Linked DNA regions of Arabidopsis thaliana. The protein of the gene in region 1 interacts with the protein of each later gene in a pairwise test. Each region holds a gene or a part of one and is shown on either strand. Other genes may lie near its edges.

What was found. Proteins that work in one complex are often made in the same cells at the same time.
Region 2: the proteins of ARD1 (region 1) and AT5G43830 interact in a two-hybrid assay, tested with the Arabidopsis thaliana proteins (2 studies listed by BioGRID).
Region 3: the proteins of ARD1 (region 1) and AT5G50100 interact in a two-hybrid assay, tested with the Arabidopsis thaliana proteins (one large-scale study listed by BioGRID).

Annotation. Positions count from the first base shown.
Region 1 is NC_003075.7:8,429,687-8,433,775, reverse strand, and holds ARD1 (acireductone dioxygenase 1), read left to right. Parts: upstream 1-1,812; 5' UTR 1,813-1,908; coding exon 1,909-1,926; exon of another isoform or gene 1,927-2,090; intron 2,091-2,243; coding exon 2,244-2,355; intron 2,356-2,435; coding exon 2,436-2,530; intron 2,531-2,663; coding exon 2,664-2,778; intron 2,779-2,861; coding exon 2,862-2,986; intron 2,987-3,065; coding exon 3,066-3,136; intron 3,137-3,249; coding exon 3,250-3,292; 3' UTR 3,293-3,569; downstream 3,570-4,089. Other genes in the region: AT4G14720 (TIFY domain/Divergent CCT motif family protein), read left to right, coding at 81-171, 260-356, 666-725, 922-985, 1,059-1,293.
Region 2 is NC_003076.8:17,621,737-17,626,297, reverse strand, and holds AT5G43830 (aluminum induced protein with YGL and LRDR motifs), read left to right. Parts: upstream 1-1,938; 5' UTR 1,939-2,058; coding exon 2,059-2,261; intron 2,262-2,901; coding exon 2,902-3,142; intron 3,143-3,218; coding exon 3,219-3,339; intron 3,340-3,514; coding exon 3,515-3,705; 3' UTR 3,706-4,042; downstream 4,043-4,561. Other genes in the region: HSFA6A (heat shock transcription factor A6A), read left to right, coding at 1-167, 247-861; AT5G43822 (Pentatricopeptide repeat (PPR) superfamily protein), read right to left, coding at 4,430-4,473.
Region 3 is NC_003076.8:20,370,066-20,373,960, forward strand, and holds AT5G50100 (Putative thiol-disulfide oxidoreductase DCC), read left to right. Parts: upstream 1-1,732; 5' UTR 1,733-1,850; coding exon 1,851-1,974; intron 1,975-2,093; coding exon 2,094-2,236; intron 2,237-2,323; coding exon 2,324-2,431; intron 2,432-2,520; coding exon 2,521-2,577; intron 2,578-2,646; coding exon 2,647-2,712; intron 2,713-2,796; coding exon 2,797-2,857; intron 2,858-2,940; coding exon 2,941-2,987; intron 2,988-3,068; coding exon 3,069-3,107; 3' UTR 3,108-3,376; downstream 3,377-3,895. Other genes in the region: AT5G50090 (D-ribose-binding periplasmic protein), read left to right, coding at 1-160, 522-643, 721-813; AT5G50110 (S-adenosyl-L-methionine-dependent methyltransferases superfamily protein), read left to right, coding at 3,450-3,698.

The DNA.
Region 1 (4,089 bases):
TGTTGTTTTATAAACAAATTACTACTCCAATGTTATTTAATTAAGTTGTTTAAACACGCTTTTTTGTAATGTTGCATCAGAAGCCCAGCTGAAACAAATGCGGTGGTTGGGCAAATGACGATATTTTATAGTGGCAAAGTGAATGTATATGATGGAGTACCACCTGAAAAGGTAAATGAATCACATAATTCTGTCCAGCCTGAAAATATAAATTTTGATGGTATGGTTTTGATCATTCATCTTGTGTATTGATTTGCAGGCCCGGTCTATCATGCATTTTGCAGCCAATCCAATTGATTTGCCTGAAAATGGTATTTTTGCTTCTAGTAGAATGATTTCGAAACCCATGAGTAAAGGTAAGCATTTGCTAAAGTGTCTGATCTGCTTTTCAGTTGAAAGATTGATGATTCAGACTTGAAATGAGTTTTTTTTTTAATGTATAATCTAACTTGAAAAAATGACTAGAGCTGCTGCATCTCAAGATGAGTCTTTCTTTCTTTCTTATGTCAAACACGGCCTTTCATTTTGTCCAATTTTGAAAGGAGGCATTGTTAAATTACCAAAGAAGCATGTCTAAATGCTGTAATTGCTGCTACCTCTACTAGCTTATGTGTCTACAGATGCCTCGTGCCCCTTTTTTTGAAATTGTGATTTGATTTTTTCAGAGAAGATGGTGGAGCTTCCCCAATATGGACTTGAAAAGGCACCTGCTTCTCGTGATTCTGGTACAAACAGTACTCATTTTACCTTAAAGATATGAAATCCTATTATTCAATGATGCTTTAAAACACCTGAGAGCGAAATTTGGTCCACCTCTTCACCTCTACATGCTACGCTAAACTACTTGCTTGTTCTGCATGATATACGACCATGAAATTCTGTTAATTTAACTATTGTTCTTTTTGTTGGTCTTTTCTGAAGATGTTGAGGGTCAGGCGAACAGAAAAGTATCGTTGCAAAGATATCTTGAAAAGCGGAAAGACAGGTAGTTGTTGCTATTATGCTGTGTGCTTGCTTATTCCAAATCGATGAATACTGATACCTTTCTTTCTGAGCAGAAGATTTTCTAAGACCAAGAAGGCTCCAGGAGTTGCGTCCTCTAGCTTGGAGATGTTTCTGAATCGTCAGCCACGGATGAACGCTGCATATTCACAAAACCTTAGTGGCACAGGGCATTGCGAGTCACCTGAAAATCAAACAAAAAGTCCCAATATCTCAGTTGATCTAAACAGTGATCTAAACAGCGAAGGTATGAACAAGCATTTGTCAAATGGTTCCAATGATCTCCCTTAAAACTCTCATTCGCTTTTTTATAGATAATTAACAAGGTGCCAAAAGAACTGGAGATGGTACTACGGGTCAAAAGGCGGGAAGAACAATTTCATGTTCTTATAACATGTTAGCCATGTACAAAAAGAAAGAAAGCAAACAATGAATGTTCTCGTTCATTGTGGAAGAAACATGGGTTAAAGATTTGAGCTGGATCAGTGCGGGTCTTGTATGGTTTTGTTTTTTTTACGGGTTGCGTCCATCTTTTTTGGTCTGTAGTTTTGAGTAGGTTAGAGAGACGCGAGAGAGAGAGAGAGGATGTGGCGGTTTGTATTATGTAAATGCTTGTCTTATAATGAGAGAGACCTTATTGATGATACCAATCTTTGAGGTCCAAGTAACACAACTTCTTTGTGATTGATATGTATGAGATAATTAATTTGTCTATTTTCATGGCATGATGTATGTGATATGTCTGAGATTTGCAACATTCTTCTATAAAGTTGAGAAATAAGGGTAGTTTAGTCTTTTTAACCAAAGATTTTTATTTATTTGATCTTTTCCCTGTTTTAAAAAGAAGAATCGAGTAATCGGGTGGTTTTGAAGACGAAGAAGGACTAAGACATCACGAGGAACACGATGGGTGAAGCGGTCAAGGTATGTTTTTATCTTTGTCTCCTCTGCTTCTGATCTGTTAATGCCAATCGATAATTCCTAGTTTTGCGATGCAAGCATGAATCGTCGATTGTTATCTGAGTGATTTGATTCATTTTCGACGATTTTCGAATCATCATAACTACTTCTTTTGCTCAAATCTCGCAGTCAGTTTAATGCCTATTCGTATTCAATTTAGTTATGCAATTGACGATTTCTCGAATTGTCTGAAGTTTTGAAGCTAAAATCAGATTAAATATAAAATATCTGAACATTGCCTCCCAAGGAATCTAATCCCATCTTGATGTGCTTTTGCTTAGGATGGGAGAGAAGAAGTGATTCAAGCTTGGTATATGGATGATAGTGAAGAGGATCAGAGACTTCCTCACCACAAGGATCCTAAAGAGTTTGTATCGTTGGACAAACTTGCAGGTCCCCCTCTTTGTGTGTTTCAATTCAATGTTGTTCTCTCTGCTTCTCTATTTTGTTTCACATGTAATGTTTGTGTGCAGAGCTGGGAGTACTTAGCTGGAGACTTGATGCTGATAACTATGAAACCGATGAGGATTTGAAAAAGATCCGTGAATCTCGTGGTTACTCTTACATGGTTTGTGGTCTTTATTTATTTACTATCCCACTAGACTTGAATGGTAGATGTTTATTTTTGTCCAAGTCTTATTTTAACTCTCTAGGGGTTTTCTCAATCTTGGTTTGATGATTAAAAAGTGTTCAAAATGCAGGACTTTTGTGAGGTATGCCCGGAAAAGCTTCCAAACTATGAAGTGAAAGTGAAGAGCTTTTTCGAAGAACATTTACACACTGATGAGGAGATCCGTTACTGCGTTGCAGGAACTGGTAAGAACTTCTTTTACTGGCGGCTTTACTCGTAAACTTAAAATTTCGATATAGTAGTCATGTTTTATTTTCTTGGGAAAAAGGTTACTTTGATGTGAGAGATCGTAATGAAGCTTGGATTAGGGTATTGGTAAAGAAGGGAGGTATGATAGTCTTACCTGCTGGGATCTATCATCGCTTCACTGTGGACTCTGACAACTATATCAAGGTGCAATGTCAGCTTTTCTTCTAGCCATTTATTTTATAGTTTGGGCTTGCTTAGAAAATTGAAATATCTTGTTGAACAGGCAATGCGGCTATTCGTGGGTGAACCGGTATGGACACCATACAATCGCCCACACGACCATCTTCCTGCAAGGTACAATGTCCTGGGTTTTCCCCTTTTGTTTGTTCTCTTATGCAAACAATGGGATATATAATCAAGCAAGAAATTCTGTTATTTTACGAGAAATAAATTCTGATATTTTACAGGAAAGAATATGTCGATAACTTCATGATCAATGCCTCGGCTTAGAGAGCTTCCTCTCTCTATATCTGGCTTTCTGAAACAAGGATCTATAAACAAGGCCTACAATAAAGAAAGCTTTCCTGTCAAGTATTGGATATTTATATGTATTCCTGTGTAGAATGATGGCTTTTGGTATGCTTGAGTTGTTGTAAACTTAGTTACACTCTCTGATATGTCTCTCTTTACCATCTTTGTCGTATCCCATATACGAAAAGATTACATTGGGATTCATATTGTCTTACGTTCGTTCCTATGTGCAATATGTTGAGTTTTTACACAAATCTCTATTCTTTTTTATTTGCTTTTCAAAAACCAACAAATTAGAAGAAACTAATAAGAAGTAATACGTCCAACCGCGTCAACTTCTTTGGTTTAATCTAAACCATGGTTCGTTTGGTTGTTGTTGTGTATCTTAACATGCTGACGGTTTTAAGGATGGTTCGTTTGGTGGTTGTTGTTATCGAACATGTTCACGGTTCTAAGGAAGAAAAGTGTGGTTTTGTGTATTTGTGGTTGGACATAAGATTTTCGTTTTCGTTTACATTTGTGGCTTTCTTTTGTAATTTCCTTTTAGAGTTTGGAATCTCCTTAAATCCGACCTACATTAACTCTATAGTCTATAGAATTGGAGTAATCATTTTATTCTCCTATCTTAATGGATTACAATAAACAGTAGTTGAATGGAAGAAAAAGGGGATATAAAAGTAAACTTAGCAAGTTTAGCAGCCATGATTAGGCTTATAATAATTTATGTAGACGTGGAGCTTACGTGGCAGTCTAGGGAGTTTCCCTGCTCCGGGAAC
Region 2 (4,561 bases), on another chromosome or scaffold:
AAACATACAACATAGTGGAGGATTCAAGCACAAACAACATAGTTTCATGGAGCAGAGACAACAACAGCTTCATTGTTTGGGAACCAGAGACTTTTGCCCTAATTTGCCTCCCTAGATGCTTTAAGCACAATAATTTCTCCAGCTTTGTTAGACAGCTCAATACTTATGTACGTAACTACTTTTGAGTTTTTGTCTTGGTTATTTTGATCTTCATTAAAAATTAAATCTTTGTTTAATGATCTGTAGGGGTTTAAGAAGATTGATACAGAGAGATGGGAATTTGCAAATGAGCATTTTCTGAAGGGAGAGAGGCATCTTCTTAAGAACATCAAGAGAAGAAAGACATCATCTCAAACGCAAACGCAGTCGCTAGAAGGAGAGATCCATGAGCTGCGAAGAGACAGAATGGCTTTAGAAGTAGAACTGGTTAGACTGCGACGAAAACAAGAAAGCGTGAAGACATATCTGCATTTGATGGAAGAGAAACTGAAAGTCACAGAAGTAAAGCAAGAAATGATGATGAATTTCTTGCTAAAGAAGATTAAGAAACCGAGTTTTTTACAGAGCTTAAGGAAACGTAATCTGCAAGGAATCAAGAATCGAGAGCAAAAGCAAGAGGTGATCTCAAGCCATGGTGTTGAGGATAATGGAAAGTTTGTTAAAGCTGAGCCAGAAGAGTATGGTGATGACATCGATGATCAATGTGGAGGTGTGTTTGATTATGGTGATGAGCTTCACATAGCTTCAATGGAGCATCAAGGACAAGGGGAGGATGAAATTGAAATGGATAGTGAAGGAATTTGGAAGGGTTTCGTGTTGAGTGAGGAGGAGATGTGTGATTTAGTGGAACATTTTATATAATAAACTAATGTATTATGAGAGGTTTTTTTTTGTTTTTTTGCTTTTTTTTTCCGAGTTTGTCATCAAGCATTGTATACAATTTGGGCCAAACTAAAAGCCCAACAAAATATTTGGCCTTGGCATTTGTTAACAAATTGACTAATTCGGCCACACCTTCCACTCCATTGATTGTTCAAAGACGTCTATCAACATTTTATTTCTCCTGAGCACTAACTATAAAGTATTTACATTTTTACACAAATTTTATTGCTGTCAATTTTAAAAAGTAGCTAAAATACGATACAATTATTTTAATTTAAGTCAGTTATACGTTTCGATCGAAGCGCGTGACGAATCGAACCGTTGGATTGACCTTTTATTTAAGAGATATTGCCTTTTATGATCACCCATGTGGCTTTCCTCGATTTAATTTTATTTTTAATTATTAATAATCGAGTGCACGTACTCGCCACGTCATTTTCATGACTTTATTTTTATAAATCTTATCCTCATTTGTACCATTAGATTCTTCCCTCAAATAAAGCCTTTTTTATACGTTACTACTAAATAAATTAATTCCTCCATCTTAGGAAAATTTTCTCTAATTAAGCGACAACTTTCTAATAAATACTGCATTATCAAACGCACCTAATATTACACAAACGATAATAAAATGGATACTTTTCAGATATGTTTTCAAAATCGTTTATCTATTTAATATTATTACACTACCAATAATATCCAGCATTTGCAATGAATGTAATTACGTAATTAAGTCCTATTTTACACGTCTACTAAATTTATAAACTTTTTATCATAAAAATAGTTATTACATTCCAAAAATTACTAGTAACATTCCTATAAATTGCGTTACTATTTATCCAAACAAATTACTATTTTTACAATCTACATTGCCTTATCAAAAGTTTAAAATCAGATAATTGTGATTCCGTTTAAAGATATGATTATCCATCTAATTAACTCTTTTTTATTAACCTCATTGAGAAAAAAGAAAAATATCCAAAACTTTCTTATCCTCTTGAATCACGACACGTGTCAATAACGTAGGGGTAAAATAGTAATCACGTATATCCTACAAGATTCCTTTATAGCCTTCCCGGTCTTTCTTCACTTTTTTCCTCATCATTTTCTCGTTTGCTCCATTTTTTTCTTCTTTCTGCAAATTTTATTTTCCCGAGAAAATCATCACTGAGAAAAATGCTCGCTGTGTTTGAGAAGACGGTGGCGAATAGCCCTGAAGCTTTACAGAGTCCACACTCGTCTGAGTCTGCTTTCGCGTTGAAAGATGGATCTCTCGCTACTCATTTCGCTTCCGTGAATCCCAACTCCGTCACGCTTAACTTCGGATCTTCTGGATTTGTTGCTTACTCTCTTGATAATCCTGATCCTCGTGTTCCTAGGTCAATTTCAAGTCCTCTTCTCTTTGATTATATGCTTGATCTAGTCAAATCTTTGTTGTTTCTTTGATTTCTAAGTAGTAGATTTTGAATCTCCGATGTTTTCGGTTTCGATTTTGTTTATTTCTGGAATCTTCTTGATTTGATCTGCGATAATGTTGGATATATTCGCTATTTTGCTGCAGATTTACTTGGATTGACTTTATTTGGCTTGCGATCTAGGATTTATGGTTTTTGGCTTGCTTGTGTTGGTACTATAGCTTGATGATGATGATGATGAACAGTAACGGTAGATTTTACAAACTACATTAGATGATGATGAGATAACAGTAGCTAGTGATTTTTGGTAGAATCTGGGATTAGAGATTCTACAGCTCCACTAGATGATGATGATGATGATAATGTTATTGTTCTACAAAGTAGATTAGATGATGATGATAATGTTATTGTTCTACAAAGTAGATTAGATGATGATGATGATATTATTGTGAGCTATTGGAGGAATACGGAACTACAGAGTCTATTTAACTCTATTTTTCATCGATAGAAGATGATTGAAAAGATCTACACTGGATTAGAGTAATCTGTGGCTCTTGATTTTGTATATTTGGTAATGTGATTTGGTTTCTATTGAATTTGACAGATTATTTGCTGTGGTGGATGATATTTTCTGTCTCTTCCAAGGACACATTGAGAACCTACCGTTTCTGAAGCAGCAGTATGGACTGAACAAAATCACAAACGAGGCCATCATTGTGATTGAGGCTTACAGGACACTACGTGATCGAGGTCCTTACCCTGTGGACAAAGTTGTTAGAGATTTCCATGGAAAGTTTGCGTTTATACTCTTCGATAGCGTCAAGAAAACTGTCTTTGCTGCTGCTGTAAGTCCAGCAGCTATACATTCTTGATCTCAATGTTTAAGTCGCGGAACTTGATTTACTTGTTGTCAATGTGCAGGACGCCGATGGGAGTGTGCCGTTCTTCTGGGGAACCGATGCTGAAGGGCACCTTGTGTTTTCTGATAACACCGAGATGGTGAAGAAAGGTTGCGCCAAATCTTATGGTCCTTTCCCTAAAGGTACCAACTTTACTCCAAATGTTTTTGACTCTTTTTAAGATAAATAGAATTTACCTATTAGAAAGATAGGTATTAAGATTTTGATAATCTGATCCAAGACTTTGGTTGTTTGTGTGATTGTTGTAGAGCAGCAGTTCACTAAATGATTATATGGCTTTTTTTTTGGTGTTTGAAGGTTGTTTCTTTACGTCGTCGGGTGGATTGAGGAGCTTTGAGCACCCAAAGAACGAGTTGAAGCCAGTGCCGAGAGTGGACAGCTCAGGTGACGTGTGTGGTGCAACCTTCAAGGTTGACGCTGAGACTAAGAGAGAGGGTACCAAAATGCCTAGAGTCGATAGCTCCCAAAATTGGGCCGGTCATATCTAAACCGGAAATCATACACAAATCACAAGCTCAGCATCTTCTCCCTCTTGTCTTGTCCCCTCTCTTTCGTTACATGTTTGAGTTACATTGAGAAAATAATTTCAAACCACAATGTTCTAAACGCGTTTATGTACATGTTTGAGGTGGGATTTGGAAAGGATGTCGAGTTTTGTGAAACTTTGGAATTACGAGACTACTAGACTTTTGTTTCTCTGTTTACGTTTCTTAAATCAATAAATAAATAAGTTTTTATTTCATCATTTGTAAATGCTTTTTGCGCGAAGTTTTTATTCCATTTTTATACACAAGGAAAAAGTGGAAAACATAAATTGATGTTATGCTTCAATTCAGTTTCTCACGTAAGCTAAGGAAGGTTCGGACCATTGATCATAAGGGAAGGGATTGTTAAGATGAGAAACCATATTAAGAAACTATCGGTAAACTATCACAAACTTTGTTTGAAATCGTCCATGCAAGGATCATGTTCATTTTTAACAATTTTTACATTTGAGATGTTGGTGCTGCCATCGCAGTTGTTGGCGCCACCACCAACTTAAACGCATTTGCATTTTCCTATTGATTATAATGAAGATGTTTAGCAAATTGATAGTACGAGTGATTGATGTTACGTCCATATGATCTTTACCAGTAAATATATTGTCTATCATTAATCCTTGCTAATATCACTTGATAAAGGTTAAGAACAAAAACAGTCACTCTTTATACATCATTTGATCTCTTCCGCGAATATGACATCGAAAATGTGTTGTACTGCACAGTGGATATCATAGAGAAGCTAAAATCAGACTCAGACCTTTAGAAAGATTTACATTTAAGAATAACAGTCGAACAAGAATGT
Region 3 (3,895 bases), on another chromosome or scaffold:
ATGAATCCTGGCCACTGTGTTTCTCTCCTCATCTCTACCACCGCTCTCTCGTCAGCATCTTCCGGTCATGGAGGGCCTCTTAGGCTCACGAGGATCAAGCTCCTTCGTCCCACGGATACGCTTGTTCTCGGCCACGTCTATAGACTCATTACCACCAAAGGTATATATATTAGAGTAACATGCCTAAATCTACTCCAACATTTCAACTAACAATAATTCTACTCCAACTCTATATTCTTGCATCTCGATTACATATCTCGTAATTGAATTTGAACTATATATTTATTAGTCCGTTTGATAAATATGTTACATATATCTCGTAAGTTGCAACCCTAGGAAATGAATGAGCTATTTCCGCATAGTTAGCATTTGATTTTCTCAAACTATTTGTAGGCGCTTTAGAAAACTTACTTAACCGTACTTATACTTATGTTAAAATAAACACTCTCTTAAAAGTTATATTTATATACGTTTTTGGGGTCTAATCTACAAATTTTGATACTATTTGGGGTGAAATTCAGAGGTTATGAAGGGTTTAATGGCCAAAAAATGTTCGAAGTTGAAGAAAGAAAGTAAAGGCTCGGATGATAAGCTAGAGATGGTGAAAGCAATAAACTCTACTAAGCTTGACAATGAAGATCAGGTAATATGTGATTACAAAGATTACCATGTTTAATTATAGTGATAATTGGTTTTAACTTGGATGAAAAACGTCTATAGCTGCAAATGAAGAAACAGGAGAAAGAAAGGTCAAGAATCTCAAGATCATGGCAGCCATCATTACAAAGCATATCGGAAGGAGGATCAAGCTGAGCAAATTCTAAAACTTTGGGGAATATTAAAGAGAAGCTTCAGAATTTAAGGATATAGTTTGGAAAATATGAAGGCATGTGAGTGGCTAATGACAAAAGCTGGTCCTTTGGAGTATGTGATATTAAAGTGAAAAAATTCGAAAGCAATCATTCAGTTTTTTTTGACTGAAGAAGACTCATTACTTCTTCTAGTAGAATAATACAAAAATTATCAAAAGTTAGCGTTACAAACGTAACCGAAAGCATCGAGCGTGCTTGAAGCTGATCATGTATTAGATAATTGATCCAATGTACTCCAAAGGAGTATTATTAAAACATCTAAAAATTAAAAGAGAAACGAAAAAAGTATGTACAATTAACGAGGATTTGAACGGCGGAAAATTTTTGTCGCTAATCCCTCGCTTATATACAACAGATTTTGAAGATAGACATATCATATCATTGCAGTCTTATGTCCGTTGCAAAATTGTGATGACTAAAAATTGGTAACCAATGTTATAGTCTCTTTTATTTCTTACTGACTCCATCAAAATCTTGCTTGTAAACTTTGGACACTATTTCGAAAAGCAAAAACGTATTAATTTTGGAATTATTAAAACATTAATAGAATATTTAATATGTATAAATCAATAGAATACATTAAACTAATAAATAAATAATACAAAATATGAATTTTAACCATACAAAAAATCTCAACTATAATTTTAAAACCCCTCTAATAGCTAAAACTGTAAAACATATACTGAGTTGGTCTCTGATATTGCTCATAACCGACCGACCTAACCTAACCACACACGGGATACGCTCGATGTTCCCATTCTCCACGGTACTCCAACACTGGCATACAATACAAAACATTGAAGGAGACAGTAATGCCACGTGCACGGCTCTGCACCATAAAATTTAACGCCTCTGATTTAAAACACCACACATTGACAAATTGACATAACCAAAGCTACATAGAGAAAAAACACCAAAAATCAAAATTCCATCAAAGGGGCTTTTAAAATTTTGGACAAGAACAAAAAAAAAAGAAAAATGGCAACGAGAGGAGCTGTTGCTGCTGCTGCATCCACAATATGGAAGCACCGAAGAAACCCTTCTCTTCGATCATTATCTCGCCATTTCAATCCCAATTTCAATCATAGAATCATCCCAACAGGTACAATTTCATTACAATTCTGTTCTAAGATAGATACATGAAACATAAGAGTTGTGTCAAAAGTTCATATCAATTTAGGGTTTAAAGTCAATTGTGGTGTATATGATTTTTCCTTGTAGGGTTTAAATATCAAGTTAGGGCGATACAAGGAACAAGTACTGATCCTGTCATTACACCATTAAAGAACAGAGAGGAACCAAAGCCACAAAACTGGAAAATCAAAATGCTTTATGATGGAGATTGTCCTCTCTGTATGCGTGAGGTCTAAGTTAGACCTCTGTTTCTTGTTTATGTTTGTTCATAAAGTGTTTTTGATACTGAATTTTTGTCTTTTTATTGGTGAATGAAGGTTAATATGCTTATGGAAAGGAATGAAAAACATGGAACTATAAAGTTTGTCGACATAAGTTCAAATGATTATTCCCCGGAAGATAATCAAGGGCTTGATTACAAAACAGTAAATTTACTGTCTTTTAATTTGGTTCAATTTTGTTTCATCTTCTGTTTGATGTTCGAACTTTCGGATTTGATCGAGATCTTTATTAGGTGATGGGGCAGATTCATGCCATTCAGTCTGATGGTAACGTTGTTAAGGGTGTGGAGGTAAGCTTATTAGCATCATTGTTTTACACTAACCATTTCATATTTATCATTTTGGTGTAACGTTTTCAGGCATTTAGGAGATTGTATGAAGAAGTTGGGCTTGGATGGGTTTACACTATCACCAAATTTGAACCAGTAAGCTTTTCTCTCTTTATCTCCTAGTGATCTCTTCCATTGTGTTAAGTTCCGTATTCATGGATAACACGCGATTACTTGCAGATAGGGAAGTTAGCAGATGTTGTGTATGATGTATGGGCTAAATACCGACTTCAAGTCACAGGTATATAAAATGACCTGAAAAATGTTGTACAAGCTTACTTGATTATTTGTGCGTCTCAAAAACTAGATCTCTTTGTTGATTAGGGAGGCCATCTATAGAAGCTATTCTTGAAGCAAGAAAGAAAGATAAGGTAGGGAACAAAGGTTATCGATTTTCTGTCGTAGTAACCTTTGCTCGGTAAAACCAATCAATGATATGATTGTGTTTGCAGGTAGAGACATGTGGTGAAAGCAAGAACTGCAAGATATGAATTTTCTTTATACTCTTTGAATTGTTACAAAATACCAAAACCAGTTTGGAGTTACAAATTTTCTTTATGTGAGTGTGAGAATTTGTATATATATGATACACAGCCCCATTACATTAGCCAAATCATCCTGATGATACATTATACACATGAATAATTTCAGCAAATTTTGAAACTGTTAAGAGTTTTATATTTGGTAATGATTTTGTAAAGGTTAGCTTACTAATGTTATTGAAATATTTGTTTGAATAATGAAAATGAAATTCAACATTGTAGATTTGTTCCCAGTCACCAAAGAAGAAAAAAGGTTGTATGTGAAAAAAAAACTTTAAGAATCAATAGAATATGAGATCAATTTGTTCATTTGTTGAAAACACCAAAAAAATGCACTGCGTCTCACATATTCTCTCTCTGGGGCATTTAATCAAACACCTTCCATGCACCAAATCGCACACATTTCTTCGGAGGAGATTTCACTACAAAGCCCTCTCTAATGCCACCGTAAGCACAACAGCTTCATGTTTCAAAACTCTCAGTTCTAGCCAACAGGACCAAATCCATCTCTACGTTGATACACTTCTCCAATGGAACCAGGTCTCTCTCTATCTCTCGACCCTTTTGCTAGATAAACATGTTGGAACTTTGGAATTATTCGTGGGCATTATTTGTTTGAAAAGATTCGTGAATTTCTAATCAAATTGAAAGCTTTAGAATCCAATTTTGGGTTTAATGGTTGGTTTAAGCTTGTTGCCCACCAAGTATTTGTTATAAGTCCTTACTGGGTCAAAGCA